7 linked regions of the Callithrix jacchus genome follow. The protein of the gene in region 4 purifies or fractionates together with the protein of the main gene of each other region. This does not show direct contact. Links are inferred from orthologs where the notes say so. Each region holds a gene or a part of one and is shown on either strand. Other genes may lie near its edges.

Region 1 (4,592 bases), on a different chromosome or scaffold from region 4:
ACGGTGGGTGATCTTGGCTCACTGCAACCTCTGCCTCCGAGGTTCAAGTGATTCTCCTGCCTGTCTCCTGAGTAACCAGGATTACAAGCATGTACCACCACACCGGCTAATTTTTCTATTTTCAGTAGAGATGGGGTTTCAGCATGTTGGTCAGGCTGGTCTGAAACTCCTGACATCATGATACACGCTCCTTGGGCTCTCGAAGTGCTGGATTACAGGCATGAGCCACTGCACCTGGCCGAGCTCATGGTTTCTAAAAGGCCCATATTTTTAAATTCATACTGAAGTATTTATGGGTGAGATGATATGATGCCTAGAATTTGCTTAAAAATACTTAAGTCAAAAGAAAAGAAGATAAGACAGATGAAGGAAATGTAATAAAAAGTTGTTTACTATAACTGAAAGAGGGCATATGGACATTCATTATATTATTCTTTTGTGTATGTGTAAAATTTTTCATTTAAAAAATTTTTTTATGTTGTCCAAATAGAAATTAGCATTTCTATTACACAGTCTAAAAGATTTATTTAGAAAGATCATACTCTAAAGAGCACTGAAAGACTATGGCTATTGAATAACCAAAGTATTTTAATTTTCTTCCAAAATTATAGTTGAAAGCCTCAAATATTTGTCAATACATGATGTCAAATGCAAAGAATAAAAATTCTGAAAATGAAATGCAACTCATTAAAACCATTACTCATCAAGTGTTGCTGCCTGATTATTGTTACTGGTAAGATAATCAAGTGAGCAACCAGCACAATTCTCCTGGTCTTTTGTAGTATCAGTATTAGAAGCCACCCAACAATGTAGTTTACAAAAGTGAACAACACCTACACTCGCAGAAAGTTAAAAAAGAAAAAAATACCTGAATAAATGAAAGAGCTCTTTGGATGAATTCACTAATGCTGTTTCAGTAACCCACTGAATGCCAAATATTTCCGATGTATCTTCTTCAAAATTAGTTGGTAAAGGATCAAGATTCAAAATTAATCTGAAATTAAAATTATGTTTTAATCTCATAAAAAGTATATTAAGCACCATAATACAACAGCTCTTCTCTTTACATTATTCAAATCCATATTATACATGACACATATAAGAAGTCAGAAAACGCCTCCGTACTTTACACATTCAAGATTACAATAGCTAGACTGTATTAAAATGTCAATCTTCCATACTGATTAAAAGTATAACTGAAGTGCAATGTAACTTAAGAGGAAAAACTGGCCGCGCGCGGTGGCTCACGCCTGTAATCCCAGCACTAAGGAAGCTGAGGTAGGAGAATCGCTTGAACCCGGGAGGTGGAGGCTGCAGTGAGCCGAGATCGCATCATTGCACTCCAGCCTGGGAAACAGGGAGACTGTCTCAAAAACACAACAAAACAAAAAACACCAAGAAGGATTCTAAGAAACATATTTCTGCCTGTCTTCACCAGTTGTCTTCAGTTGCAGAATTTCATCCTAGAGGAGACATTTAATTTTTAAAACTGCTAACAGTTATTCTGAACCAAGTCTGGAGAATTGTATCCAACTAATGAAGGTGGTACTTTAAGGTCTCTAACAAGGTACAATTAAAAAGTCAACAAAAATTAATTTCCTGACTGAAACTGCCTCAGAAGGTATTACCAAAATATTTCAAGAATAGCAGTTTTACTGCAATATGTATGTACCTGCCCGATGTAAAATAAGTCTACAAGACTTCTGTATGTATAGATAGCATTAGAAGGAACAGGTCAACAAAAAATGTTTGTCTTTTGTAAAAATTACTGGAAAGCTTCAGAGTATCATCACACTCTTTGGAAGGAAATACCATTTCAAAAGGCTCATAGTTAAGAATTCACTTTAAGTAAAAGAAAACTTAGTGCCCAGCTCCCTACAGTAAGGGAACATCAGTTACCAAGGAAGTTTTCCCTAATACACAAAATACTTTTGATACGCCCTTACCAAGAAGCCAACAGCAGAACTGATATTCATTTGTACCATTATGATATACTAAGCTGATTTATAAAACATTGTTCGGCGACCACCAAAGTTTAGTGGGCTGAAATGACAACTAACATTCCTAAAAAACTGGTGAATAATCAGATGAGGGAAAAAAAGTCTGAGTTTTACCTACCGCTTAAGGGCTCCACTGTAGAGGTGGGATTCTCCAGAAAAATGTTTTCCTCCTCCTCTGTTGTCAACAGCACAAGAAAAGCAAGGAGGTTTGCACCACTCTGTCCCCAGCTCCAGCTCTAAGCTGTCAGTCAGGAACGTCGGGGAAGCAAAACAGTTCTCCATTGTTTACTTCATGTTCTGAAATGTTTGAAGGTCGTCGTATCCTTAAGGGCTCCAAAGAGAGGGTGTGAAGAGATTCCTGGAGGTGGGGGCCGACAGACTGGGGGTTACCTCACAAAGTTCCCAAGACGTCCCCCAGCACGAAGGAAAAACAAACGAAAAACCCAGACCAAATCCCCAGTTCTTCTCCCCCGCCGCTCCGCCCATCAAGGGTGTCAGAACTTAAGATAAAATGCACAATCAACTCTGGCTGTGGCAGGGACTTCGAAATCCGCCCACCAGGTCCGACTCTGCATCCCAGAACAAGGTGAAAAGGAAAGAAATGTCTGCAGGACACAGGCGTCCCGGGCTCGCCTCGAACTGCGCCCTCTGCAACGTCACTAACCCGCCCTCCGCCCGTTTCCCAGCAGCAGGATAGAGAAAGCTCCCTCGCCAGCTGGGGGTGGACACCAGGAAGGCAATCCCTAGCGCCAACCCCGACCCTCCGAGCCGCGGGCGAGACCCACCATGCTCGCGCCCGGCAGCACTCGGGTGGAGAAGGCGGGGAGACCGCATCCTGCGCACCCAGCTGCAGCCGGGACCCCGGACGTCGGTTGCCCGCGGTGCCTGGCGTACCTACTCAAACTTCCAGCCCCCGAATTCTGCCTCCTAATACCCCAACCACAACCAGGAATCTGTGGAGTCTAAACCGCAAACAGGCGAAATTCCCGCCACCGCGCGCCCGCGTACCGGAAAGGCGGAACCGCGGCGCAGCCGGTACCCGGCAACCAATCCCTTCGCGTTATCTGCGCGGAAACAGTCGGCGCTCCACGATTCTCGCGAGAGTCTGTCAACCTGGGACAAAGTACAGAAAAACTTTTTTTTTGGACCTTTAATTGGTGCGTTCGGCTGGAAGGAGGGGCCTGGCTAAAAAAAAAAAAAAAAAAAAAAAAAAAAAGGAACTGCTGCTGAGGCGGTGGAGAGGCGGGTTTAAGGCCTGTGGGTTTCTCTTCTGGCCCGACCGAAGGGAAGAGATTTAACTCCAGTGAGTACGAAGTGAGTGACTCGTTCACACCCACAGTCGCTCCGTCGCCTCTTCTCGCTCTAGGGCCAGCAACTCTTGTTAGAATGCAGGATACCTTTTATTGTCCATGGACTGTGAGGCAGGCAAGTGTAGCAATGAATTTTCTCTGTAACCGTTGGAACAAGTAAACAGAAAATTAGTGTGGAAATTTGGAAAGCACTACCAACCAGCTTGACCTAATTGACGTTTATAGGTGAGCAACCCAACAGTAGCAGAATACTCTCTTTCTCCCTCTCTCTCCCTCACCCCCTCTCCACACACACACCACTTCTTAGTAGCAGAATACTCTCTCTCTACACACACACTTCTTACAAGAAAACTCCAGGCCAGAGCAGGCACAGTGGTTCATGCCTTTAATCCCAGCACTTTGGGAGGCTGAGGCAAGTGGATCCCTTGAGACTAGGAGTTCCAGACCAGCATGGGAACATGGTGAAACCCTCTCCCTGGTGTCTAAAAAAATTAGCCAGGCGTGGTAGTGCTCGTCTGTAGTCGCAGCTACTTAGGCTGAGGTGGGAGGATCACTTGAGCTGGAGAGGTCAAGGCTGCAGTGAACTGTGAATGTGCCACTGTACTCCAGCCTGGGCACTCAAGCAAGACCCTGTCTCAAACACAACAAAACAAACAAACAAAACCCTCCAGGCCTAATGACATTACTGTTAAATTCTCCCAAACATTTAAGGAAGGAATAATACAAATTCTATACTAACTCGTAGAGAAAATAGAAGGAGATTGGATGCTTGTTTTATGAGGCAAGCACCACAGTAGTATCAAAACCTGGCAAAGAAAAGAAAGGACAACCACAATCTGATATCACATGCAAATATAAAGGCAGAACTGTTAGGAAGCAAAATCCAGCAGTACATAAAAAGGATGACATATGACAGCTGGGCGCAGTGACTCACGCCTGTAATCTCAGCACTTTGGGAGGCCAAGTGGGCAGATCACTTGAGGTCAGGAGTTTGAGATCAGCCTCGCCAACATGGTGAAACCCCCCGTCTCTACTAAAAATACAAAAATTAGCTGGGTGTGGCATGTGCACCTGTAATCCCAGGTACTTGGGAGGTTGAGGCAGGAGAATCGCTTGAACCCAGCATACAGAGATTGCAGTGAGTCAAGATCATGTCACTGCACTCCAGAGTGAGACTGTCTGAAAACAAACAAAAAGGATGACATATGACAAGAAAATTAGATTCATGTTAGGAATATAAGGTTATTCACATTTCTACATGTAATCAGTTCATTATATCAAC
Region 2 (3,050 bases), on a different chromosome or scaffold from region 4:
TAAAATAAATGGGTGATTTTTTATTTTGACTGAATGCTTATGTATTTTACTTATTAGTTAACTCCAGTTCCATAAAGCCTTCCCCTTTCTACAGAGGAACAATAGTTACGTCTCAGAATTTTTGCTTGCTGTTGCTTCATTCCTAATTTATGCTTTCAGTTTCTGTTGGAAAACATTCTTAGAAGTGGTGAAGCATAAGATGAAGAAAAGACCTTCATACTTTGAAATCCTAATAGCTTTAAGAAATGTATTCCTTATTATCTCCATTTTATTAGGTTTTTCTCCTTATGGATAAAGGAAGGCATACTTTAATACAAGTGATAACAACGTGTTATTTCAGGCTTACACTAGAACATTGTGGACCTTACGTCAGTAGATGTACTTTCGGACAGGTTGATGTTTAATCTGTACATTATATTGTTGTATATGTGGCAGAAATTTAATCAAGGACTGACAGTACAATTTGCTAGAATAATTTAAATGTGTTTTTTTTTTGTAGAAGAAGACGAGTCAGCATTAAAGAGGAGCGAGCTCATTAACTGGTACTTGAAGGAAATCGAATCAGAAATAGACTCTGAAGAAGAACTCATAAATAAAAAAAGAATCATAGAGAAAGTCATTCATCGACTCACACACTATGTAAGTGCAGAAATGCGCTTGCTGTGGTATCGGGGGGGTGGGAGTTCATGCCCTGTATCTGTAGGTTCACTAGTGAAATTTTTTTTAACCTTTGTTTGTTTTGAATCATTGGAGTGTAGTCAGAAGTATGAGTTGTAAAACAAGGGAGAATTAACAGCAGGTAAATGATTTATTTCCTCTGCTGAAACCAGCAGAATTGCAGTTAAATCTTGGAAAGTGGGATTAAGGTCTTACTAGTTGGGTGTTATAAGCTTCTGTTTTCCACCCTCATATTCACCCTTGGTTGTACTGTCACCTACTTTCTATGCTTCATTTTCCTCACATCCTTAGTTCCTGGTTCCCACCTTGCCCAGTCCAATAGTCACTCTTCCTTACCCTTTGAATTTTTTGTGTCTTACTTGCTTGGCAAAAACCCCAAACTTAGTTAAATAAAGCCTCTTTTTTTTTTCTCTGTAGTACCCTTATCTAAGCAGCTAAAAGTATCTGGAGAAAAGCATACAATTGTGAGCCCAGTCTTATTTAAATTGATGACCAGGAATCTCAAGTAGACAGTTCCTATACTCTTATCAGCCTCATGACAGCACTGCCCAGTGCAATTCCTTTTCCTTGGTCAGTTCTTTGCCCTAGTCTCTCACAGGACCATCACATGCCTTCTCTCCACTCCTGTCAGCTGGCTATTCTCAGTACTCAGCCTGTCCACAGCTTTGTTACAGTTTATCACTCCTAGAAATGCCGTCTTCTTCACTTGGTTCTGAGTCACTATATCCTCCTGGGTCTTTCTCACTGGTTATTCCCTCTTAGTCTCTTTTTCCTGAGTCTTTCTTTTTCTTTTTTTTGTTTTGTGACAGAGTTTTGCTCTTATCGCGCAGGCTGGAGTGCAGTGGCACAGTCTTGGCTCACAGCAATCTCCACCTCCTGGGTTCTAGCAATTCTCCTGTCTCAGCTTCCCAAGTAGCTGGAATTACAGGCGCCCACCACCATGCCTGGCTAATTTTTGTATTTTTTTAGTAGAGACAGGGTTTTGCCACGTTGGCCAGGCTGGTCTAGAACGCCTGACCTCAGGCGATCCACCCACCTGGGCCTCCCAAAGTGCTGGGATTACAAGCTTGAGCCACCATGTCCAGCCTGAATCTTTCTTTTCTTACTTTACTCTCAGATTATTTACATTCATTACCTAAGTGATCTCATTTGGTTTTATGAATTTACCCATCTACTGATGACTTCCACATTTATGTCAGCAGCTCTCACCACTCCTCTAAACTCCAGATGGATAGAGCTGGTTGCCCACTGATGAGCTAACAGGCATCTTGTGCTTAATGTGTTCAAAAACAGAGTTGTTCTTCCCTGTTTGCAACTGAGTTGTTCTTACTCAATTGCGGTAGGTAGGCCAAACGCCTTGGAGTTGTCTTTGACTTCTTGGTTCTACTCTCCCCTCACAACAACTCTTCAGCAGCAAATCCTGTGACCCCGGCCTTCAGTGTGTATGTATTTTCTGTTCTCTTTTTACCGTCCACCCAAGCTACTATGCCTGGACTGTTGCATTGTCCTTTTTTTTGTATTGGCTTCCTGCTCAGCAGATAGGTCTTTTTAAAATATAAATCACATTATTTTACTACCCTCCCTTCCAGTGCGTCTCTCACATTAGAATGAAATCTAGCCCCCTTGACATGGTCTGCAGAACTTACCCAGTAAACCCCATCTGCCTCATTCACTTCATTTCACAGCGGTCATCCCTTGCCCATCCCACCCCAGTGACACTGGCCTTGTTCCCTAGACACACCAAACATGAGGGCCATTGCACTCACGCTTTGTCTGTTTCCTTAGATCTCCTCCTCCTCTCCGATTTCTGCTCAAATGTTACCTCTTCAAAGAAGCCTTTCTTGCCTAGCCTGTCAAAACAGCATCCTTCTGCTCTTGCTGTCACCCTGCCTTGTATTTCTTTATAATGTTTAACATGGCCCAGCAGTATATTCTTTATTTAAGTGTGTAGTTTGTCTCTCTTACAGCATATAAGCTCTATGAGGGTAGAGACTTGGTCCAGGAGCTACGGTGGTGCCTGGCACATAGCAGGATCAAATATATGTTGAATGACTGAATTTTTCTATTACGTGGCAGAGATTTAACCTTTGTGCCAATTCAGTTCACAGTACTCACTACATAATATTACAGAGGTCACATATTAAGGTTGTGTCTTCTGAAAAACAGTTTTCCTATAAAGTAGATCAGTGATTATTGGGGGGTAGGAAGGTGTGAGAACAGCTACTAGATCACAATCCAGAGTTGCTTTTCTAGTGGTAGGACATGTCTATGTGCTCCTTGGAATCCATGTAAGGTAAAACGACCCAGGCAAGGAATCTACTTCAGGACTTTGGAACACACTGTGAATTTAAGTGATCTAAACTTTGATTATG
Region 3 (3,895 bases), on a different chromosome or scaffold from region 4:
GATCTCCCCAGCCTCCCCTCCTGCATCTGGACCGTCTCTCAGCAAGGCCACCTCAGGAACAGCACGAGGCCAATCAAAGTGCAGATGATTTCCCACTGTCTGCCTCTGGGGAGCCAATTCTGCCTCTCCCACGGCTCAGTTATGGCCAGGGCACCACGCAATGCAGACTCCTCAACCCTCTTTATCAATAACAGGCTTGACCAGTGTCCCCCTACTCTGGAATCCTTTCGTCAAACCTTAGCCTGGCTCCACTCACCGGTGCAGGCGCAGCAGGAGAGTGAAGATGCCCTGATAATAGTCCAGCAAGGGAACAACATGGTCAGCAAAGGACAGGAACTCCACCAGCCAGGGCACAGTGAGCACCGCCCGGCGGGCCTGCAGCCCTCGCTGCAGCAGAGTCCGTACATCCAGGACCGGAGGGACCTGGGAGGGCCAGAGCTCAGTTAGAGGGCAGGTCCCTGGGAAGGGCTGGGAGATGCTCTCTAACCTGCCTGGTTCCCGGAATAGCCAAGGAAACCAGTGAGCCTCAGTGCCTGGCTGGTCCTCCCTGCTCCCTCCTCACCAGAATCCCCCGCCCATTCACCTGGCTCCTGAGGGCCAGAATGGAGTCCTGAAGCTCACCAGTCGGGGGAGGTTCAGGCCCCCGGTATGGCAGGAAAGCTACAAAGCCCAGGAATTTGGCCAAAAGCCTCAGGCTAAGAAGCACCACAGCAAATTGCCTCCGTTCACCCTGCATGGAATCAAGGGAAGTAAAAAGTCCAAGCATGAGGCTTCCAGAACAATTTTTTCTTGAACATATTCCCTTCCCTCCAGGGTCAGACCCCATTATTTCCCTTGTTCTGTTTTCAGACCTGCCAGTCTACATCTGACTCCCCATCTTCATCACTGGGCTCATGCTGGGGCAGGGTGAGGCCATTGAGCTCCCGGATCTTCAAGCTCAGACTGTCCATGAGATGCTGGTTAAACTGGAAGCTGAGAAGGGGTGGGTGGGGCATAAGCACTGGAAGAGGTGCAGGAAGAGGCAGATTCAAGAAGGAGCACTCCAGAGGGAAGGGAGCAGGACAGAAAGGGAAGCTGAGGAGCAACAAAATCACCCATGTGGGTGACAGAAGTGCAATGAAGCCAGCAAGTACAAGCTGGAAGAAGCCTATTCTGTTATATTCCAGGCAAAGGAGACTGTTTACCCTTTTGGGAAGTTACACCTTTCCTGGCCTCTGCCCCATTCCTTGTAAGACACAGGGGAGCCTACCTGCTGGCACTAAGAATGAAGTCCCTGAAGAAGCCTTGACAGCCTGGGAAGGTCGGGGGTGGGCAGGGCCCCCCACTGCTCTGAGGGGTCACAAGCCGTTCCTGTAGGCGCCACAACCGCCCCAGCTTGTCAGCTCCCAGCATACTCAAGACATCTGGGGCCTCGCCCAAGACAGTGCCCCCAGCACCGCCAGGGCTCTGACACATCTCGGGTGAGAGAGAAAGGAGAGAAATTAAATAATCAGTAAGTGGGAGGGAAGGACTGAACAAAATAAGGAGAAAGTAATCAACATTTAAGGAATGCACTTTAGATAGCTTTTCTGAGGTGTGAATTACAGGATTGTTTCACAGGTGAAACTAAAACTGCAAGGTTAAGCATGCGCCTAGGGTCACTAGCTAGGATCTGAAACTAAGCTTGACTACTTACTAAGCCTGGGCTCCTTACCACAGCACAAATCAGAGGGAAAGCAGCAGCAGGCTGGGGGAGATACAGGGTCCAGGGCATGTCAGAGAGTGCCCTGGCTTTTCTTTGTCCATGCAAGTTTCAGCCACCCCACCAAGGAGTAGAACTCTTGTTCAAATTCCAGCCCAGGACATGCCTGGCTGTCTGCCCTATCCCAAAGTGCAGTCATTACGTGGCTGCCTCTGATATCTGCTGTTTAATGTGGATTAATCTCTTGCTGGGGCTGTTACCTGGAGTAGTTGTTTTTGGAAAAGTCGAACAAAGTGGCTGTGACTGCAGGCTGCAGAGAGCTGACCCATCATGGCTCTGAGGAACAGAAGGCAGGAATGAAGGGTGTGGAGGGGAGAGAGAGGAAGAAAGATGAGAGAAGCAGCCAACCCTTGGGCTTCCCAGCCCTTTAGCAGGAACTTGAGCCAGCCTACACAGGGACATTGAAGGTAAGGGACACTCCCTCAGCACCAAGTTCCCCAAAGTTAGAGGTGCACTTAACCAGAATATCACACCATCCCTCCTGTCTTCAGCCGCACTGACAGGTGGCGAGTTTCATGACCGATGTGAAGGGAGATGACTGGACTGAAGTAGGCATTCTGAGCCCAGGCATCTACCTACAGTGACCAGACTTGCCCAAACTAGAGAATGGAGAAAATGGAGGCTAGATGCGTCTAACCAGTGGCTTGGGCCAAAAAAACTCCAGCAGCCTGGGTTAAGAGCTTTGGACTTTTTCCAAGCATTTGCCACTACAGAATAAGAATAAGGCACTTTTGAGTGAAAAGAGCTTAAGAGACACATCCCTTTCAAGTAGAGGCAGAGTTATCAGTAACTAAAGATATTTCAGACAATAGAACAGAACAGCTAAGGGCTTGAAGGAGATGGGGAAAGCCTTCCCTCCTCCATCAGTTCCCTGAGCGGCACTGAGCTACTCACTGCCAGGCACAAGAAAGACAAGGTCTGAGCACCCACCTGATTCTGCTGCCCAAGCCCTTCTCAAAATCCCAGCCAGCCTCCTCATGGTGATCTTCCCACTCTCGCAGCACCTCATAAAACACATCCCTAACGCATAAGAATGCCTGATCAGCTGATATACTCACTCCCACCAGTGTCTTCCCACCCCTGGAAGAACTGAGGACAGGACTATCCACAGCCCCATTTTTTTTGTTTTGTTTTTGGAGATGGAGTCTTGCTCCTGTCACTCAGGCTGGAGTGCAATGACGAAATCTCGGCTCACTGCAACCTCTGCCCCTTCCCCACCAAGCGACTCTCCTGCCTCAGCCTCGGTGTCCCTCACCACACCCAGGTAATTTTTGTATTTTTAGTACATATGGGGTTTCACCATGTTGGCCAGGCTGGTCTTGAACTCCTAACCTCAGAGTTCAAGTACTTTGGACCTCCCAAAGTACTGGGATCACAGGCATAAGCCACTGGGCCTGGCCAGCAGCCCCATTTTTTAATCTCTCAAGAATTCTCTACATAACGGCACTATAGACCAGCAGCAGCATACTACAGGCTTCATGTGCTTCTGTGGGCAGTTCACCCTGACACACTCTTGCCTGAGAACCCTGAGACTAAAGCCATACACCTGTGACATGGCTGGGTAAGCGCTAGGGTTTAGGTCCACAGGTGCACAACAGAAGGAAGCCAAGTGGCCCCTATGATGGCCGGCAGTAAAGACCTGGGAGGACTAACCCACCACCTAGTTAGTGCTAAACTCATAATTTTTATGAAACCAAAACAGCTGCCTAGTCCAGAAAAATGTCATCTCATTCCCTCCCCCAAAAGTCCCTTTTCTTATCACCTCTGTTTTTTAAAAGTATGAAAGGCTCGGTCACTGGAGAAGTTGGCACGATTGTCAGTCTCTGGCTGAAAGGAGACAGCCTGAGCAGAGGGTGGCATCACCAGAGAGACCTAAAATACAGCAGGAACATTAGGAACTGCAGGGTCATGCTGAGAAAACTTCTCCCTCTTATTCTCGCCCAAAGTTAGCTCACATTACACTTAAGTGTCGTCAGCAGGGTTGCAGGACTTTATGTAAGCTAAGCAAGGATCAGGTCCAGGCCAGTGGGCATCTAAGCTGGAGTTACTACCTTGGCAACACTGCCCTCATAGGCAGCTCGAAGGCGGCCTTGCAGAGCTGGTGAGAAGCACAACAGCCGCTCATTCTCAGCCAGCAGCTTCAATGTCCCTTTG
Region 4 (4,558 bases):
ACTAACGTGGTGAAATCCCATCTCTACTAAATTAGCCAGCCATGGAGGTGCGTGCCTGTAGTCCCAACTACACAGGAGGCTGAGGCAGAATTGCTTGAACCCAGGAGGCAGAGGTTGCAATGAGCCAAGATCGTGCCACTGCACACCAGCCCGGGCAACAGAGCAACACTCTGTCTCAAAAAAAAAAAAATACCAGCAGGTTGACTTTAGCCTTTCCAACTAATTCTCTAAGTAAGTTAGTAAAGTCACAGGACAGGAGCTTCCTAGGAGTAGAAGTATCAGATAATGACCGCATCACCATTTGTAAATGCAAGGAACACAAACAGGCTGATTGAAACCCGATCTCCTGCCGCCTGGAAGCTGGGAATCCCTCAGCCTATTACCTCCTTCCATCTCCTCCTGGCTTTTAAATTAAATCTTATTCCACAGTGACATTCTACACTTTATTTATTTACATGCTGCCCTGTTCCAGAAAGGATTTAACTTGGCTTATTCTATAGTTAGCCACAAGTAGACTCCTCAGGAAGAGGTGGACCTACTGGCCTACCCAGAGCACATCTGAATCTCACTGTATCAGCCCCGAGCTAATACACGCCACCAGCTTGGAGGGGAAACCACCCACCTGACCCCAAGAGGCACTAGTTAGCACCCCCGGCTTCACAGGCCACTGCACGGCCACCTCCTCGGCTGTGCCTTTTCTCTTTTAACCACCAAGTAGAAAAATGGCCTAATGAAGTACTTCTTCCTGAAAGCAGGACTCGCCTTTTAGTGGTGCCAAGGCTCCCTGGGTGACCTTAGATTCTGGATTGTACAAGCCTTGACGTGAAAGGTCTTTTGCGCTTTGTGCCTCCTGTCCTCTCATCTGTGAGATGAGAGCCATGTGCACCTTTAAGTCACACAGATTAATAAGTACATCTGCGGAAGCACCTTGGAAAAGATGCGTAAGAGGCTGTGACCCCTAAGCTCCAGCTGACTGTTTGAAGCTGGAGCCTGTCAGAGCTCAGCCCAGTCCACCCACCCCCAGACTAGGTCAGACCATCAAAAGCAATGGAAGCTTGGCACTGATTATCCAGCTATATAAAAGAAGAAAGGAAGAAGAAGAAGAAACAAGAAGAAAACTAGGCGCAGTGCCTCATGCCCGTGTAATCCCAGCACTTTGGGAGCCTGAGGCAGGTGGATCACAAGGTTAGGAGTTCGAGACCAGCCTGCCTAACATGGTGAAACCCTACTAAAAATACTAAAATTGGCCAGCTGTGGTGGCCTGTGCCTATAATCCCAGCATTTTGGGAGGACAAGGTGGGTGGATCACTTATAGTCCATAGTTCGCAACCAGCCTGGCTAACGTGGTGAAACCCCGCCTCTACTAAAAATACTAAAATTAGCCGGGCGTAGTGGCAGGCGCCTGTAATCCCAGCTACTCAGGAGGCTGAAGTTGCAGTGAAGTGCCACTGCACTCCAGCCTGGGCAACAGAGCAAGACTCTCTTTCAAAAAAAGAAGAAAAAGCGAAGAATTGCTGCAGTCAGTCAGCTGGAAATGGGCGGGCAAACCTGGGGAACTACTAATGCCTGCCTGGCTATGCCACCCCTCGGATCTCAGCGTGTATGTCCAAGCCCACAGAAGAGGGTGGGGAAAGGGAGCTGGGGAGACCAAGTTACTGCAAAGGGTAGCATCCTTCCCCGGGGGAGCTCAGGGATAGGGAGGTTGGGCCCCAACGAAGGAGGGAAATCAGGTTCCAGGGTATGTGCATTGGGGTAGAAAACCAGCAGCAATTGGTGGGGGGCAGGGTTATTGAAATATCGGCAGGTTGGGGAGGGGAGAGCCGGGAGACAGATGGGAAGATGGGGGAAGAGAGCGGTCTTGACAAGGGATTGACGGGTTTTCATAGGGAAAAAAGGTTACTGGAGGGGAGGGTCTTCACGGTGGGGGGAGAAGGGAGTTGGGGGAGAGGTCTCCATAGGGGAAATAGAAAATGGCTGGGATTTTCCCCGGGAAAAATGGGAAGGGGCTGGAGAGTGGGGTCTCCAGAGGGAAAAAGGGAGATGGGAGTATCTCACTATAGGAAAGAGTCTAAGTGGGCAAAAATGGGTGGGTGGCTGAAACAGGGGTCTTGCCACAGGGAAGCCACAGTGGCTGAAGATCTCCGTGGGTTAAGAAATAGAGGCCGAGAAGGTCTCTGCATGAAAATGGGTACCTCGGAAGAGCTCCAAAGAAAAAAGATGGATGAGGCTCCCCACGCTGGAAATGGGGCTTGGGTGGGGGGCGTTAATCTCTATGGGGAGGTTGGGGCGGGCAGTGGCGAAGATCACTGGGATGTCCGAGTTGGCTAGCGGGAAGCCTCCACCCGGGAGGTCAATGCGGGCAGTGGGGAAGGAAGTCCCGGGGAGGTCCAGGTTGGCTGGTGACTGGGGGGGGGGGGGTCTCCACCCGGACACCGGGTTGACTGGCGGGCTGGGGGAGATCGGGGTTAGCTGAGAGGGAGGACGAGGAGTTTCATGGGGGAGATCAAGTTGGCCATGAGAGCAGTTTTCCGCGGGGAGGCCGGGGTCGGCCCGAGGGTGGGGATTAACCCGCACAATCCCAGCCTCACCGTCCGCCAGGGCTTCACTGCACTCGAAGCTGATCTCGAACCGGAAGGGGCTGTGGAAAGGGCTCGGGTTCTCCAGTACCGCCACGTTCAACACCGACACCTTGGCCATCGCCTCGCCTCGCCTCACTGCGCTGCAGCAGGGGCAGGGGCAGGGGCTGTGGCCGAGGCCGCGTCTGGGTCCGGTGGTGAGGTCAGCGGGGTAGGGTTGACAAAACCCACTCCAAACTCTTCCCTCCGCGGACTGAAGTGCGCATCTCGTACGCGCGCCGCCTTCAAATAGCCGGCCTCCGCCCTCTGGCCAATCACCGCCAACGCTCCCTGGCGGCGCGCGCACCCTCTCAGCCAATCCTGGAGCGCCAGTCGGCGCGCGCCCAGACTCCTTGGACCAATCAGCGGAGCTCCCTCTCCGCGGAGCGTGAGGAGGGTGGAACCACCTCCAGGCTTCTTAGCGTGTCCTCTGGGAACCAATCCCCAGCGTCTCCGACTAGGAGGTCAACGGCAGGAGTGGACAGAGTCAGAGCGCCGGCCTCCTGCTGGCCAATCCTGAGGGTTCCCGCACCGGCGTGGCCCGCCCCTCGCCCCACTATTCCGGGATATGTATCCCGCAGCGCGCAGCGCCGCCAACCGCCGAGCGGTGGCGCGCGGTGCTCGCTAAAGAAGGCGGGAAGGGCGGTGCTCGCACCCCCAGTGATTGGCAGGAGGGAGTGGGGCGGAGATAAAGAGGGTTTTTTGAGAGTTGATTGGCTGGATTGGTAATGAAAGCGGGAGCCTAAGGAGGCTCAGCTGGGGATTAGTTGGAGAGAAGCGGAAGTGGGAGTTACCCTGGTGCCGGGGTGTGTGAAGAGAGAGGAGGAGCGTTTGCGGCCTCAGCGTCTGTTCAACAGGTGAGCGTCTGCTGGAGCTTTTCTGAGTGGCTGGCTCCTGACCTCGAGGTGCAGCAGCCCGGGTGTCCGTTGTGAACGTTGTGAACGTTCGGAGTGGCGGTCACGCGCCGCGCTCGGACCTCGGGAGTCTGGCCGAGTTTGGATCCCGTTCTTGCCCCCGAGGGGTTGGAATCCCTTTCTCGCCCCCTGGTGGGCTCTTGGGAGGTTTCAAGCGGACGGAACTGAAAATGGGAGTTCCAGTTCGAGTCGGTGCTCTGCTACTCGGCTTTCGAGGCAGCGTCTCCCTTCCCATTGAACGGGCCGTGGAAATTCCCTGGCATGACTCATGACCACATAATACATCCAGAAACTTCTCTCCGCCGCATCCCACCTGGGCCGTCGCCTGGGAGACTGTCCCACGGGAAATCAGCGCTGCCCAGTGGAAAAGTAATGCCTGCCGCGCACCTAATTATACATTTTTTGGAAGCCACTTAAAAAAAAACCGAGTCTCGCTGTGTGGCCCAGGCTGGAGTGCAGTGGTTCCATCTTGGCTCACTGCAACCTCCACCTCCCAGGTTCAAGAGACTCTCCTTCCTCAGCCACCCCGGAGTAGTTGGGATTACAGGCGCACACCACCATGCCTGGGTAATTTTTGTTTTTTCGTAGAGACGGAGTTTCTCCATGTTGGTCGGACTGGTCTCGAACCCCTGACCTCAAGTGATCCGCCCGCCTCAGGCTCCCAAAAGTGCAAGAATTACAGGCGTGAGCCACAGCTCTGAGCCGCTAACACACAGCGTGTTGCGTTCTTTTACCCAGTGAAAAGACGTTGAGATTCCTTGTGTTGTACACTCAGCTGCACGTCTGTCATCGGGCATGTGAATACATTTTCTTCAAAAAATCGTTGATCTGGTTTCTTATGTTTCATAAGGTTTGCAGTTGAAAATGTAGATTCACACATTCCTACTATTCTCGACGTACTTCAGAGTCTTCCACGAGCTCAATTTTTGTATTTTTTTTTTTTTTTGAGACGGAGTCTCACTCACCTACCCAGGCTGAAGTGCAGTGGTACGATCTCGACTCACTGCAGCCACCACCTCCCGGGTTCAA
Region 5 (3,895 bases), on a different chromosome or scaffold from region 4:
GCCAAAACTACATGTACTTGATATAGTTATTTAATTTACTTTCGTCAGATTTTAACGAAGGTTCAACTTGGTCGTTTCTATCCCAGCTACTGTGCTGTATATAACCTTATAGGTATAGTATATATAAATGTAGCAATAACATTTCAACATTAAGCAATTATACTCAGTAATGACTTGTTAATAAATTAAGTATTCTGCCAATCAGCTCACTACTCAGCTGCAACTAGTTAGCATATTTTCTTTTTTTTTTTTTTGAGATGGAGTCTGCTGTTGTGTAGAATGAAGTGCAGTGGTGCGATCTTGGCTTACTGCAACCTCCGCCTCCTGGGTTCAAGCAATTCTCCTGCCTCAGCCTCCCAAATTAGCTGGGATTATAGGCACCTACCACCATAGCCAACTAATTTTTATATTTTTAGTAGAGACAGGGTTTCATCACGTTGGCCAGGCTGGTCTTGAACTCCTGAGCTCAGGTGATAGGCCCAACTCAGCTTCCCAAAATGTTGAGATTACATGCGTGAGCCACCACACCCGGCCTAGATAGCAAATTTTCATTCACACAAGGTGGAATGAATGATATCCATCCTGACAATGTCCAAATGGTAAGGCCAACTTAATTTAGGTGGGAAAATATGGAAAATGACTAAGAAGTGGGGAAAAAAGGGCAAGAAGAATGTTTAAAAATATAATAGTACTAACATGATTTCAGCTATGGTAAAGTACAGAGATTTTATTAATAAATAGCAACAAAGGCTATTTTTATGAAGAAGAAAGCAGAGAAAAAGAGAATATATATGTAACTTTGCTTTTATATGGGATGAGAGAAAAAAGAGTATGTGTAACAACTGAGAAGACAAGAAACTTGGGAAAAACAAGAAAATTTGTTAGGGAAGAGCTTAAGCATTCATATTTTTAAAATATGCATACAAATCAAAGAAAAGCTAACCACGGTAGATTATGCTTGGGATAAGTTTGATTGATTGAGACACAGTTTCACTCTGTCATCCAAGCTGGAGTGCAGTGGCACAATCTCAGCTCACTGCAACCTCCACGTCTTGGGTTCGAGCAATTCTCATGTCTCAGCTTCCCAAGTAGCTGGGATTACAGGCACACCCTACCATGCCCAGCTATTTTTGTATTTTTAGTAGAGACGAGGTTTCACCATGTTGGCCAGGTTGGTCTCAAACTCCTGACTTCAAGTGATCCACCCACCTGGGCCTCCCAAAGTGCCAGGATTGCAGGCGTGAGCCACCACTGGGAAAAGTTTCTAAATGAGTGAAACATATGTATAACTTATATTGGAAAATTATGAGTGAGAATTTTTTTTCTGAGATGGAGTTTTGCTCTTGTCAGCTCACTGCCACCTCTGCTTCCTGGGTTCAAGCAAATCTCCTGCCTCAGCCTCCTGAGTAGCTGGGATTACAGGTACTTGCCATCATACCCGGCTAATTTTTTTATTTTAGTGGAGACAGGGTTTCACCATGTTGGCCAGGCTGGTCTTGAACTCCTGACCTCAGGTGATCCACCTGCCTCAGCCTCCCAAAGTGCTGGGATTATAGGCGTGGGCTACCACGCCCGGCCATGAGTGATTATTTTTATAAATAACTGGAAGAATATTTCTACTTTTGTAGAAGTTAATTTTACAAAATGACTTGGACTCTCCCATATACTGACATTTGGTAGCTTTTCTTCTGTTTTAAACAGTGAAAAGAATAATGTTGAAGATTCTTGAAAGTCCTACCTTATACGGGCTAATTAGTCTTCTTTTAATATCCAATCTATAGCTTCTGTATTGTTCAGCATTACTCATGTCAGTTACCAGTAGTCGAAGAATTTCATAAACCCTTCTAGCATGTCGCTAATAAATGAAACAAAAGAAAAACGTGAACACTTTCAAAGTAAAAATAATGACACTTTTCCAAAAGAACACAGGATATATTTAATATCTGCCATGTGCAAGGAATTGTGCTAGATACCAAAGGAAAGGCAATAAAAGTCATTGCCTTCAAGCAGTCTAGTGGGTAATACAAATGATTATGGTATGGATAATTTAATGTGGCACAAGCATAGTTCAACGCAGTCTCAACCTCCTAGGCTCAAGCTATCCTCCCACCTCAGCCTCCTGAGCAGCTGGGACCATGAGCATACACCACCATACTTGGCTAATCTTTTTGTGTGTGTAGAGACAGGGTCTCACTTTGTTCCCTAGGTTGGTCTTCAACTCCCAGCTTCAAGCAATCCTCCTGCCTCAGCCTCCCAATGTGTAAGAATTACTGGCATGAGCCACTGTGACAGATTTTAAATGGGAGAGTAAGCAACATGCACAAATTTGAGTTTTAAGTCAGTCAGTTTTTCAGCTTCATAGAAATGGTAGCAAAAAGAAGGGCAGAGAGACCAATCAAGAAGCTGAGCTATTACATCAGATAAAAAATGATGACGGCATGAACTGGAACAGCACAAATAAGACAACTAAGGGGACAAGGACACTAGAAACATATAAGAAGAAAAAATGACTTAGAGGAGAATGTAAAAATGTAAATTTTCACAGCCTAGGAGAGATTTGGGAGGCAGCAGCAAATAGAAAATCTGAAGAAAATTTTAGTCTAAGGGGAAGGATTTAAACAATGTCAATATATAGGTAACAGTTAGAACCATAAGGTTGGTTAAGGTCACCTGGGGAAAGCATTTACAGTGATAAAAGGAGGTCAGTCAGAAATCTGGTAGTACAGTGACAGTTAAAAAGCAGACAGGGCAGCTGGGTGTGGTGGCTCATGCCTGTAATACCAGCACTTTGGGAGGCTGAGGCGGGTGGATCACAAGGTCAGGAGTTCGAGACCAGCCTGGCCAACATAGTGAAATCCCATCTCTACTAAAAATACAAAAAAAATTGGCCAGACGTGGTGGTGGGCTACTTGGGAGGCTGAAGCATAAGAATTGCTTGGACCTGGGAGGTGGAAGTTGCAGTGAGCCGAGATTAAGCCATTGTACTCCAGCCTGGGCAATAATACAAGACTCTGTCCTAAAAAAAAGCAGACAGGATGAGGCACAGTGGCTCATGCCTGTCAGTCTCCAGCACTTTAGGAGGCTGCCAAGGTGGGCAGGTCACTTGAGCCTAGGAGTTTTAGAACAGCCTGCAGATTGTGTGCTAATGTTATGACAAAAAAAAAAAAAAAAGAACAGTCTGTAGAAATCTTGTCTCTACCAAAATTAGCCAGGCATGGGGGCGTACCCCTGTAGTCCCAACTACTTGGGAGGCTGAGGTGGGAGAATCATTTGAACCCAGGAGGTTGAGGCTGCAGTGAGCTGTGATTACACCACTGTATTCCACCTCAGGTGACAGAATGAGAGACCCTGTCTGTCTAAAAAAAATAATAAAAATAAAAATAAAGAAAAGGAAAAAAAAGACAAGTGGTATCAACGAAATATCAGAAGAATCAGGAAGTTTCAGTAGCAATGAAGCCAAAGGAGAACCACAGTTTTCCTGTTGGTGTTGTTTCACTTGTATATTTATTTGGGCAGGGAGTTAGGCTATGGGTAGGTTGGGAAGATGATTATCTTCTGACCTTCCTGGAAGGGAACTTGAGTTGAGAATGAAAAAGTGAGTACTATTTGGCCAGGCAAATAGGAGATGAGAGTATTTCAGGTAAAGAGAATAGAATATGTAAAGGAATACAGAAGGAAGAAGGATGTGGCAGAGTTGGGAAATGGCTGGAAGATCAGTAAAGCCAGAGCATGTAGTAGCAAAGCAGTAAGAGGCTGAAGCTAGTAAGGTAGGCAGAGTCCAGATTATCATCAGCTCTTTGTGTCCTAGGTAGGGAGTTTGAATTCCTTTTATAAAAAAGCATCATGGGCCAGGTGCGGTGGCTCACGCCTATAATCCCAGCACTCTGGGAGGCTG
Region 6 (4,551 bases), on a different chromosome or scaffold from region 4:
CTGCTTTCATTGTTCTCTCACACTAATTAGATGGGGTAATGAGGGAATGAAAATGAAAATACTGGCTGGGTTTGGTAGCTTACATGGGTAATCTCAGCACTTTGAGAGGCCCAAGCAGGTAGATCCTTTGAGCCTAGAAGTTGGAAACCAGCTTAGGCAACATGGTGAAACTCATCTCTATAAAATAAATACAAAAATCAGCTAGCTGGGCCTTGTGCCTCAGCCTCCCAAGTAGCTTGAGTAGTAGTCCCACCTACTCGGGAGGTTGAGGCAGGAGAATCACTTGAGCCCAGGAGGTAGAGGTTGCAATGGGCCGAGGTGGCATCACTGCACTTCAGTCTGGGTAAAAGAGACCCTGCCCCCCACCACACACACAGCACATATAATTGCTCAGTTTTAGCTTTCAATTTATGGTGTCAGGAACTACTTAAATGGTTTGTTTTCTTCTAGCCACATATACATAAACTTTCTTTATGTATAACCTGCCAGGAAGCTAAGACTAAGTTCACTAATGACCTAACTCTGGCTAGACACAGAGGACCTGCAAGAGATAAAACACCTGGCCCTGTAGAGTGGCTCACACCTGTAGCCCCAACACTTTGGGAGGCCAAGGCAGGAGGATCGCTTGAGCCCAAGAGTCCGAGACCAGCCTGGGCAACACCAAGACCCTGTATCTACAAAAAATTAGCCAGGCGTGGTGGCACACAACTGTAGTTCCAGCTACTCAGGAGGATCGCTTGAGCACTGGAGTCCGAGGTTGCAGTGAGCTATGATCCCACCACTGCACTGTAGCCTGAAGAGCCAGACCCTGTCTCCAAAAACAGACACCTATCAGTGAAATACTGAATGCTACAGTTGTCTATGAAATATTATGAAAAGGAGCTCTTTTTTTAGTAATAGTTATAGCACGACTCCCAACCCCAATCTATACTGCTCCTATCGAACCAATAGGGAAAGAGGTAGGTTATGTAAGTTTGAAATTAAAATTGTATTTCCCATGAGTTGCCAGGTGATTCTCAGGGTGACTTGAGAACCACTGCTCTGCAAGTCGGCAGAGAAAACAAAAAGGGGTAAGCAGAGATATAAGTAAATCTCTAGTAACTATACATACACTAAGACATAATCATGTCAGTGTAAGCCTACAGAATATTAATTTTTAAAAACTTCACAACAACCATTCCTTTTACAGGGAAGGAAGCTAACCTCTAAAGTGCATATTAGAGAAAAAAATAGAACCAGATCCTCAAAAAGATAAGGCAAGAATGGGAAATCAGACCTACTCTATGGAAAATAGCACCTGTTTCCTTGAACTCACGTAGTGTTTCCCTCCACTGTTCAAAAAATACACGAGCCTGAGTAGCACTGTGCCACTTTCAAAGCAATCCTATCTTATTTCCCTCCAGTTCTTCTCCACTTCGTGCATCCTACTGCGGATTCACCTAGCAACCAAACACTGCTGGTGAGAGCTCCAGACAGCGCTTCCTGAAGACGCTTTGCCTCCGGGTAACGTTCCCCCAAAACAGGCAACACCTCCAAAGTATAAAGAACTACAACCCTCCCTACCACAGGCAGGAGCTCACTGAGTCGGAGGGAGCGATAAGGATCCTCCAGGATAAGAAGTGAGCTAGGCGCGGGGGGAACTAGCCTAGCTACCCCCACCAAGCCAGTCCAAGGCTCCTGCTGGAGCGGGCTGCGGCCCCAAACAATGGAGTTTTCCCGCCTCCTCGAGGCCCCGCCCCCTACTCCGGAGCCAGCGAGGGAAGCAAACACACGCGCGCAAACCCCGCCCACAACAAGGCCCCGCCCACTCCCGACGCCCTGAGGTCCAGCCTCCTTCCTCGTGCAGGGTTTTTTTTTTTTTTCTTTTGGCGCCAAATCTCCGTTGGTTCTATTCCCAGGTTATCCAGGAACTCTACCCGAGGCACAAGCTGGGGACAGAAGGGGCGTGAGGGCCAACCCACGAGCCACGGCCCCGCCTCCCGGTCAACCGCCCCGGGACGCGGGAGGAAAGAGAGGGGCAGGCGATGAATACAGCCGCCGCTGCCCCCGGCAAGATGGCGGCCGCGAAAAGCGGGGCAAGGGGCGCCAGCCGACCGCCGTTACCACTGGAGCGCTAGGCTCTCAGCAAGAGAACTGCTCCAGTGACCAGGCCTCCCCGAACAGCGACAGTTGCTCCTAGGAAGGCAAGTACTCCCGCCCACAGGTCTATCCCTTCCTCGGAGCCCCCGTCCATTAGCCCTCCCCGCGGACTGGCCAGTGCCTAAAGCTTTCCACAGTCCCGCTTACTTGTCGGCAGAAACCAGCTCCGCGGCAGCGGCTGTGGACTCTGTAGCCATCGTTCCCCTGAGGTGGCGAACCAGCGACCGGAATAGAGCCTGTGAGAAAACAAGCAATTTGGAATACCAAGGACTTACTCAGGGACAGAAAATGGCAGATTGGAGACCCCGCGCGGCTGGGCCCTCTTATATATGATGGCCCTTGGCCCCGCCCATCCACTTCCGGATCTTCCTCTTCGGGTTTAAAGGGCCAGGACCAATACCCCCCGCCCCCAACCCGGCCTCCCACTATCCGAGGACACCTCCTGCCCTCTCCAGATGGCTCCGCGGGATTGTTGCCCTCCCTAGCCCGCCTTCTCCGATAAACAGCAACTTCCTCCTTCTCCAGCAAGACGCGTAAGAAGAACTGGAATCTTGACAGTGTAACTCCTGACAGGAATCCCCTGCGGTATCCACAGAAAGGAAAGCCAGTGCTGCTCTGCATGTGTAGGGCAAGTAGCCAAAGTCTCCTTCCGGCCTGGATACTGAGTAAGGTGACTTTCTGTCCGTCCTCTCAGTCGTAATGGATGGACACTCAAGAGCGAGGACGAATACAACAGCAGCGGCTACAACTGATCTGGATGACATCTGGGCCTCGGCAACAACTGACGCAAGAACAGTTTGTTCTAGGATTGGCTACAGCTGAAGCTATCGCTCTTGATTCAAAGCTCTGGCCGCAGCGGGAAACGTCTGGCTCCTCCCTTTGGACCCGCCCCCTTTGGCTGGCCCAATCCGCTGATACCATCCTCGTAAACCCTGCCCAGATTCCAAATCTGGCTGGTTTAATGCTCGCAGTGCTTTTCGTCCACTCCTGGCTGACTTGCTCAGTGACTACATGTGGGGGTACTGTGATTAGACGCTTTGAAGTTCGCCATCTTATTCAGTCTTAATAATGCTACTGGTGAGATCGGTGTTGGTCTATTTCTTAGAAAAATAAACCAAGGGGCAGGGCGTGGTGGCTCACGCCTGTAATCCCAGCACTTTGGGAGGCCGAAGTGAATGGATCACTAAGTCAGAAGTTCAAGACCAGCCTGGCCAAGGTGGTGAAACCCCATCTGTACTAAAAAATACAAAAATTAGCCACGTGTGGTGGCGGGTGCCTGATATCCCAGCTACTTGAGGGGCTGAGGCAGGAGAATCGCTTGAACCCACGGGATGAAGGTTGCAGTGAGCAGAGATCGTGCCACTGCACTCCAGCCTGGGCGACAGAATGAGACTACATCTCAAAAACAAAAACCAGGCTGGGCGTGGTGGCTCAAGCCTGTAATCTCAGCATTTTGGGAAGCCCAGGCGAGCAGGTCAGGAGTTCAAGACCAGCCTGACCAACATGGTAAAACCCCTTCTCTACTAAATATGCAAAAATTAGCCGGCGGGTGCCACGCGCCTGTAATCCCAGTTACTAGGGAGGCTGAGGCAGGAGAATCGCTTGAACCAGGGAGGCGGAGGTTGCCGTGAGCCGAGAGCACACCATTGCGCGCTCCAGCCTGAGCGACAGAGCAAGACTCCGTCTCAAAAAAACAGTAACCCAAGTTTCCAGCCGGACCAACATGATGAAGCCCTGTCTCTACTAAAAATCCCAAAAATTAGTCGGGCATGGTGGCAGGCGCCTATAATCCTAGCTACTCAGAAGGCTGAGGCAAGAGAATCACTTGAACTCAGAAGGCTGAGGCAAGAGAATCACTTGAACTCCAGCCTGGGCAATAGAGCGAGACTCCGACTCAAAAAAAAAAAAAAGATCAGGGAAGGTGTGACTTGTTCAGAAAGTTGCAAGACAAACCAATTATGGAAAGCAGTGTGCCTCATTTCCTGTAACTAGCTGATTGAAAAATAACTGTCAGGCTAAAAATCTGCACTTCATCATACCTGGAGCACATCCATTCCTTTTCACCATGGCCCAGTCTACACTGATCAGAGTAGGGGTTATTTCCCTTCAGGTTCCAGCATATTGGGAAAGATTCCTGGGAAGGTTTCTTACTCCAATCTGTCAAGGCTTGAAGAGGTTGAAATCTTTGGGGCTAGAGAGCTGGATGTGAAAAATGCTAATTCCTATGGCAAAGAGACATGGACTCTTCCATTATTAGCTAGGTGACATGAGCCAGGTCATGTAACCTGGATTGTAATGGAGTAACTGGGATTAAGATTAAGTGTAAAATAAGGACATGTTAGTAGCCACCTCTTAAGGATATTGTGAGAATTACAGTTAATTAGCACTGTGTTGGATTTATGCTAAGTACTC
Region 7 (4,386 bases), on a different chromosome or scaffold from region 4:
GAGCTTGAATCAGTTCAGATATGAGAGTATCTCACTTATAAAGCTCTCTAGAGACATCTCCCTCTTCACCTTCCTGGTTTCCAACCTTAGTGTCTATGGCCATCATGTGAGACTTAAAGCCTATTTGATTACTCATTTACTTTGTTGAATACCTCTTTGTGCCAAGCAGAGAATGAAGTGGAAAGTAAAATGGACAACATCCCTGCCCTTAACCTATCAGGGAAGATACTCTTGAAGTGAGAGCAGTTAATCATAGGCAAAAAATTCCCATGAAGCTAGGAGTTCTGGGGCAGAGAGTGGAGTGAACTCACTTTTCACAATGACCCAGCAACATGGGAGAGGGTGGGGGCTGGATTTTGGCCCAGCCACCGTGCTGACAGTGCACAGCCCTTTAATGCTGTGTATCATCTCTTTTCTTCACAGTGCCATCTCTGTGGAGCTGTACTACATCTTTGCCACAGTATGGGGTCGGGAGCAGTACACTTTGTATGGCATCCTCTTCTTTGTCTTCGCTATCCTGCTGAGTGTGGGGGCTTGCATCTCCATTGCACTCACCTACTTCCAGTTATCTGGGGAGGATTACCGCTGGTGGTGGCGATCTGTGCTAAGTGTTGGCTCCACCGGCCTCTTCATCTTCCTCTACTCAGTTTTCTATTATGCCCGGCGCTCCAACATGTCTGGGGCAGTACAGACAGTAGAGTTCTTTGGCTACTCCTTACTCACTGGTTATGTCTTCTTCCTCATGCTGGGCACCATCTCCTTTTTTTCTTCCCTCAAGTTCATCCGTTATATCTATGTTAACCTCAAAATGGACTGAGTTCTGAATGGCAGAACTACTGCTGTTCTCTCCCTTTCTTCACGCCCCGTTGAGCTGTCCTACCAGCTTCTCTTTTGATTGAGTGACTGAACTGTGTGATGGCATTGTTGCCTTCCCCTTTGCCCTTTGGGTCTTCCTTCCCCAGAGAGGGCCTGGAAATTATAAATCTCTATTATATTAAGGAATATATATTTGAACTTTTTAAGTTGCCTTTAGTTTTGGTCCTGATTTTTCTTTTTACAATTATCAAAATAAAATTTATTAAGAAAAAGGATCATGTAGTTGGAGGTTTTGGTCTGGATATAGAAACGCGAGCCCTGCTGTTAACGGCACGGCCCTTTAGAAAGCGGAGCTGGCCACGGAATAACCGAATTTCGAGTTCTCCAACCCAGCTTGGGAACTCTCAGCGTGGGGAACCTATATTGCCAGAGCACGGTTTCCGCGACTCAGCCGGTGCTCAGCCTAACGGAAGTGGAGGAGCCGGACGTCTTTGTGGGAAGTGAATTGAATCACCTTGGCGACCCGCGGGGCGTGCGGCAACGCCCTTTCCGCCGGAAGTGGCTGTCAGCCTCCACGTGCTGTCCCTCCCCCTCCCCCTCCCCCTTTCAGCCCAATAGCGGCGGCTCAGCTGCTGCCATGGAGCCCGCCAGTCTGGAGCAGCTCTTACGGGAACTGCTGCTGCCGGACACCGAGCGCATCCTTCGGGTATGGAGCGGGCGTAACCGACCAGGGCGAGCGGGAGGTTGCGGGAAAGGCCCGACTCTCACTCCTAGCTTTCCCCTAGGCCACGGAACAGCTCCACATCGCTCTGCGGGCCCCCGCCGCCTTGCCGGCTCTCTGCGACCTGCTCACCTCGGCAGCCGACCCCCAGGTGAGACCCCTGCACTGGCCAAGCCCCAGTAAACGCCCCGTGCGGTCCCCTCAGCACCTTCCTTACCGGACCCCCACATGCCTACTTCCTCGTCCCAGATCCGCCAGTTTGCGGCCGTGCTGACCCGCAGACGATTGAACACCCGCTGGCGACGGCTGGCGGCGGAGCAACGGGAGAGGTGGGCTGGGCCTGGGGCGGGGCGGGGCCAGGTGGAAGCTTTTCTTGGGCAGGCCGGGTACCAAACACCTGCCATCTGTGTTCTAGCCTCAAGTCCCTGATCTTGACGGCCCTGCAGAGAGAAACAGAGTGAGTATCTACTCCCTTCTCTCGGGATCTTGACGACCTTCTTTGGGTTTCTGCCTTCCCCTTCAGCTGCAGGCTGGGACTTGGGGGGCAAGGACTTCCGTTCTAGACCAAAGTGAAGATTTTAAGGCTGTTTCGAAGACTGAAGTTCTTGAGAAAGGGTGATGATGATCTGGCAAACCAAAGTCAGAAGAATGAGACTGAAATTCAGGCTAAGTAAGACTGAGCTTACCAGATTACATGCCCGCAGTGCAGCTGGGCTCCCTCTGAGCTTCTATCTCATGTGTCCCAACTTGGCAAAGACCCTGTGCCCACCACTCCTGAAAGTTTCCCTCCTGGCTGCCCCAATGAGTCTGGCCACTCAAGAGGAAGGCATTGGAGGGTGACTGGAGATCTCTCCTGTTTGCAGGCACTGTGTGATCCTCAGCTTGGCCCAGCTTTCAGGCACCATTTTTCGAAAGGAAGGCCTGGAGGCCTGGCCTCAGCTTTTGCAGCTTCTTCAGCACAGTACCCACAGCCCCCACAGCCCAGAGAGAGAGGTACCATTACATAGTTGGCAGGAGGAGGGAGGGCCCAAGAGGCCGGATAGACCATGTAAGCTCGCCCTCCCATCCTCTACTCTTGGACAGATGGGGCTTTTGCTGCTGAGTGTGGTGGTGACCTCCTGGCCCGAGGCCTTCCAACCCCACCATAGGGAGCTTCTTCAGCTTCTGAATGAGACTCTTGGTGAGGTGGGCTCTCCTGGGCTGCTCTTCTACTCCCTGCGTACTCTGACCACCATGGCCCCCTACCTCAGCACTGAAGATGTGGTGAGATGTGGGCCCACTCATATCACTGACTGCCTTTCCTCAGGCCTTCATGTCCTCACCCTTAAAAGTTACAAAGCTGTGCCAGACATGGTGGCTCATGCCTGTAATCTCAGCACTTTCAGAGGCAAAGGCACGCAGATCACAAGGTCAAGAGATCGAGACCATCCTGGACAACATGGTGAAACCCTGTCTCTACTAAAAGTACAATAAATTAGCCAGGTGTGGTGGTGTGTGCCTATAGTCCCAGCTGCTCGGTAGGCTGAGGCAGGAGAATCACTTGAACCAGGGAGGCAGAGGTTATGTGAGCTGAGATCGCACCTCTGCACTCTAGCTTGGCAACAGAACGAGACTCTGTTTCAAAACACACAAACACACACCCTACAAAACTGCTTTGGATTCTTTACCTGCCTTTGGCCCCTACACACACACACACACACACACACACCCAAAGCTGCTTTGGATTCTTTACCTGCCTTTGGCCCTTCCTGACAATTGAGAGGGGATGCTGTAGGTGGGCCTGGCTTGTTCCTGGGCTCCTCCTCACAATTCAGGCTGTGAGGAAGCTGCCAGCTGTTGGGTTGTAAGATTAGGCTGCATCATGCTCTCTGTGATGTGTCTTTTAGCCTCTCGCTCAGATGTTGGTGCCTAAGCTGATTGTGGCAGTGCAGACCCTGATCCCCATAGACGAGGTGAGGACAGGTGGGCAGGAGCTCTGTTGGAAGGAGAGTGCAGAAGTGTCAGCTGGGCCCACTGAAGAAGAGCATGGTCACCCTGTGCCTTGTTTTGTCTGTCAGGCAAAGGCCTGTGAGGCCCTTGAGGCTTTGGATGAACTGTTGGAGTCAGAGGTACCCATCATCACTCCCCACCTCTCTAAGGTCCTCACATTCTGCCTGGAGGTGAGCCTGGAATGGACATGGCACCGGCTACATGCCCTGCTGGGACTTTGCTTGCCTGGCTCTGATTCTTATTATTCTCTGGACAGGTGGCTAGAAATGTGGCCCTGGGCAATGCGATACGTGTACGTATCCTTTGCTCCCTCACTTTCTTGGTCAAAGTCAAAAGCAAGGTGAGTTACCATTGACACATCACCAACTGTCCATCTCCACCCTTAATCTCACTTTTGGGGCTTTCTGTCCATCTCAGGGTATCTAAAGTACTATGGGGGTTCAAGCCTTGCCCTGGCCTCACCCCAACTCCTGCCTCGGATATTGGGAATCTTCTGTCAGACCCCTATGGCCTGGAAGACTGTTTTTTTTTGAGATAAGAGTTTTGCTCTTGTTGCCCAGGCTGGAGTGCAATGGTGCAATCTCAGCTCACCACAACCCCTGCCTCCTGGGTTCAAGTGATTCTCCTGCCTCAGCCTCCCAGTAGCTGGGATTACAGGCATGTGCCACCATGCCTAGCTAATTTTGTGTTTTTAGTAGAGATGTGGTTTCTCCATGTTGGTCAGGCTGGTCTTCAACTCCCCGCCTCAGGTGATCTGTCTGCCTTGGCCTGCCAAAGTGCTAGGATTGCAGGCATGAGCCACCATGCCTGGCCAAGACTGGAATTTTTAATGTGAGCCCATCCTGGGAGCAGATTCTTAG

The links.
Region 1: the proteins of ASF1B (region 4) and MMS22L purify together in Homo sapiens (co-immunoprecipitation; 4 studies listed by BioGRID and IntAct, counting the BioPlex papers as one, with this or other methods). This does not show direct contact. The link is inferred for Callithrix jacchus from reciprocal best matches to the Homo sapiens genes ASF1B and MMS22L.
Region 2: the proteins of ASF1B (region 4) and MCM6 purify together in Homo sapiens (affinity purification with mass spectrometry; 4 studies listed by BioGRID and IntAct, counting the BioPlex papers as one, with this or other methods). This does not show direct contact. The link is inferred for Callithrix jacchus from reciprocal best matches to the Homo sapiens genes ASF1B and MCM6.
Region 3: the proteins of ASF1B (region 4) and CDAN1 purify together in Homo sapiens (co-immunoprecipitation; 5 studies listed by BioGRID and IntAct, counting the BioPlex papers as one, with this or other methods). This does not show direct contact. The link is inferred for Callithrix jacchus from reciprocal best matches to the Homo sapiens genes ASF1B and CDAN1.
Region 5: the proteins of ASF1B (region 4) and HAT1 purify together in Homo sapiens (affinity purification with mass spectrometry; 6 studies listed by BioGRID and IntAct, counting the BioPlex papers as one, with this or other methods). This does not show direct contact. The link is inferred for Callithrix jacchus from reciprocal best matches to the Homo sapiens genes ASF1B and HAT1.
Region 6: the proteins of ASF1B (region 4) and NASP purify together in Homo sapiens (affinity purification with mass spectrometry; 5 studies listed by BioGRID and IntAct, counting the BioPlex papers as one, with this or other methods). This does not show direct contact. The link is inferred for Callithrix jacchus from reciprocal best matches to the Homo sapiens genes ASF1B and NASP.
Region 7: the proteins of ASF1B (region 4) and IPO4 purify together in Homo sapiens (affinity purification with mass spectrometry; 5 studies listed by BioGRID and IntAct, counting the BioPlex papers as one, with this or other methods). This does not show direct contact. The link is inferred for Callithrix jacchus from reciprocal best matches to the Homo sapiens genes ASF1B and IPO4.

What each region holds. Positions count from the first base shown.
Region 1 is NC_133505.1:103,208,633-103,213,224, forward strand, and holds the start of MMS22L (protein MMS22-like), read right to left. Parts: upstream 3,077-4,592; 5' UTR 3,009-3,076; exon of another isoform or gene 2,786-3,008; intron 2,656-2,785; exon of another isoform or gene 2,359-2,655; 5' UTR 2,283-2,358; coding exon 2,119-2,282; intron 995-2,118; coding exon 869-994; intron 1-868. UniProt on the Homo sapiens protein: Component of the MMS22L-TONSL complex, a complex that promotes homologous recombination-mediated repair of double-strand breaks (DSBs) at stalled or collapsed replication forks.
Region 2 is NC_133507.1:94,681,185-94,684,234, forward strand, and holds part of MCM6 (DNA replication licensing factor MCM6), read left to right. Parts: intron 1-499; coding exon 500-639; intron 640-3,050. UniProt on the Homo sapiens protein: Acts as a component of the MCM2-7 complex (MCM complex) which is the replicative helicase essential for 'once per cell cycle' DNA replication initiation and elongation in eukaryotic cells.
Region 3 is NC_133509.1:30,490,625-30,494,519, forward strand, and holds part of CDAN1 (codanin-1), read right to left. Parts: coding exon 3,793-3,895; intron 3,614-3,792; coding exon 3,504-3,613; intron 2,762-3,503; coding exon 2,672-2,761; intron 2,018-2,671; coding exon 1,942-2,017; intron 1,456-1,941; coding exon 1,250-1,455; intron 973-1,249; coding exon 852-972; intron 731-851; coding exon 584-730; intron 424-583; coding exon 257-423; intron 1-256. UniProt on the Homo sapiens protein: May act as a negative regulator of ASF1 in chromatin assembly.
Region 4 is NC_133523.1:12,910,797-12,915,354, forward strand, and holds the start of ASF1B (histone chaperone ASF1B), read right to left. Parts: upstream 2,839-4,558; 5' UTR 2,698-2,838; coding exon 2,589-2,697; intron 1-2,588. UniProt on the Homo sapiens protein: Histone chaperone that facilitates histone deposition and histone exchange and removal during nucleosome assembly and disassembly. Cooperates with chromatin assembly factor 1 (CAF-1) to promote replication-dependent chromatin assembly.
Region 5 is NC_133507.1:57,537,483-57,541,377, forward strand, and holds part of HAT1 (histone acetyltransferase type B catalytic subunit), read right to left. Parts: intron 1,856-3,895; coding exon 1,739-1,855; intron 1-1,738. UniProt on the Homo sapiens protein: Histone acetyltransferase that plays a role in different biological processes including cell cycle progression, glucose metabolism, histone production or DNA damage repair. Coordinates histone production and acetylation via H4 promoter binding.
Region 6 is NC_133508.1:82,319,251-82,323,801, reverse strand, and holds the start of NASP (nuclear autoantigenic sperm protein), read right to left. Parts: upstream 2,906-4,551; 5' UTR 2,761-2,905; coding exon 2,415-2,760; exon of another isoform or gene 2,337-2,414; coding exon of another isoform or gene 2,287-2,336; intron 1-2,286. UniProt on the Homo sapiens protein: Component of the histone chaperone network. Binds and stabilizes histone H3-H4 not bound to chromatin to maintain a soluble reservoir and modulate degradation by chaperone-mediated autophagy.
Region 7 is NC_133509.1:58,494,996-58,499,381, reverse strand, and holds the start of IPO4 (importin-4), read left to right. Parts: upstream 1-1,424; 5' UTR 1,425-1,453; coding exon 1,454-1,522; intron 1,523-1,601; coding exon 1,602-1,688; intron 1,689-1,754; exon of another isoform or gene 1,755-1,786; coding exon 1,787-1,866; intron 1,867-1,952; coding exon 1,953-1,994; intron 1,995-2,400; coding exon 2,401-2,530; intron 2,531-2,620; coding exon 2,621-2,800; intron 2,801-3,423; coding exon 3,424-3,489; intron 3,490-3,594; coding exon 3,595-3,696; intron 3,697-3,782; coding exon 3,783-3,866; intron 3,867-4,386. Other genes in the region: TM9SF1 (transmembrane 9 superfamily member 1), read left to right, coding at 424-817. UniProt on the Homo sapiens protein: Nuclear transport receptor that mediates nuclear import of proteins, such as histones, RPS3A, TNP2 and VDR. Serves as receptor for nuclear localization signals (NLS) in cargo substrates.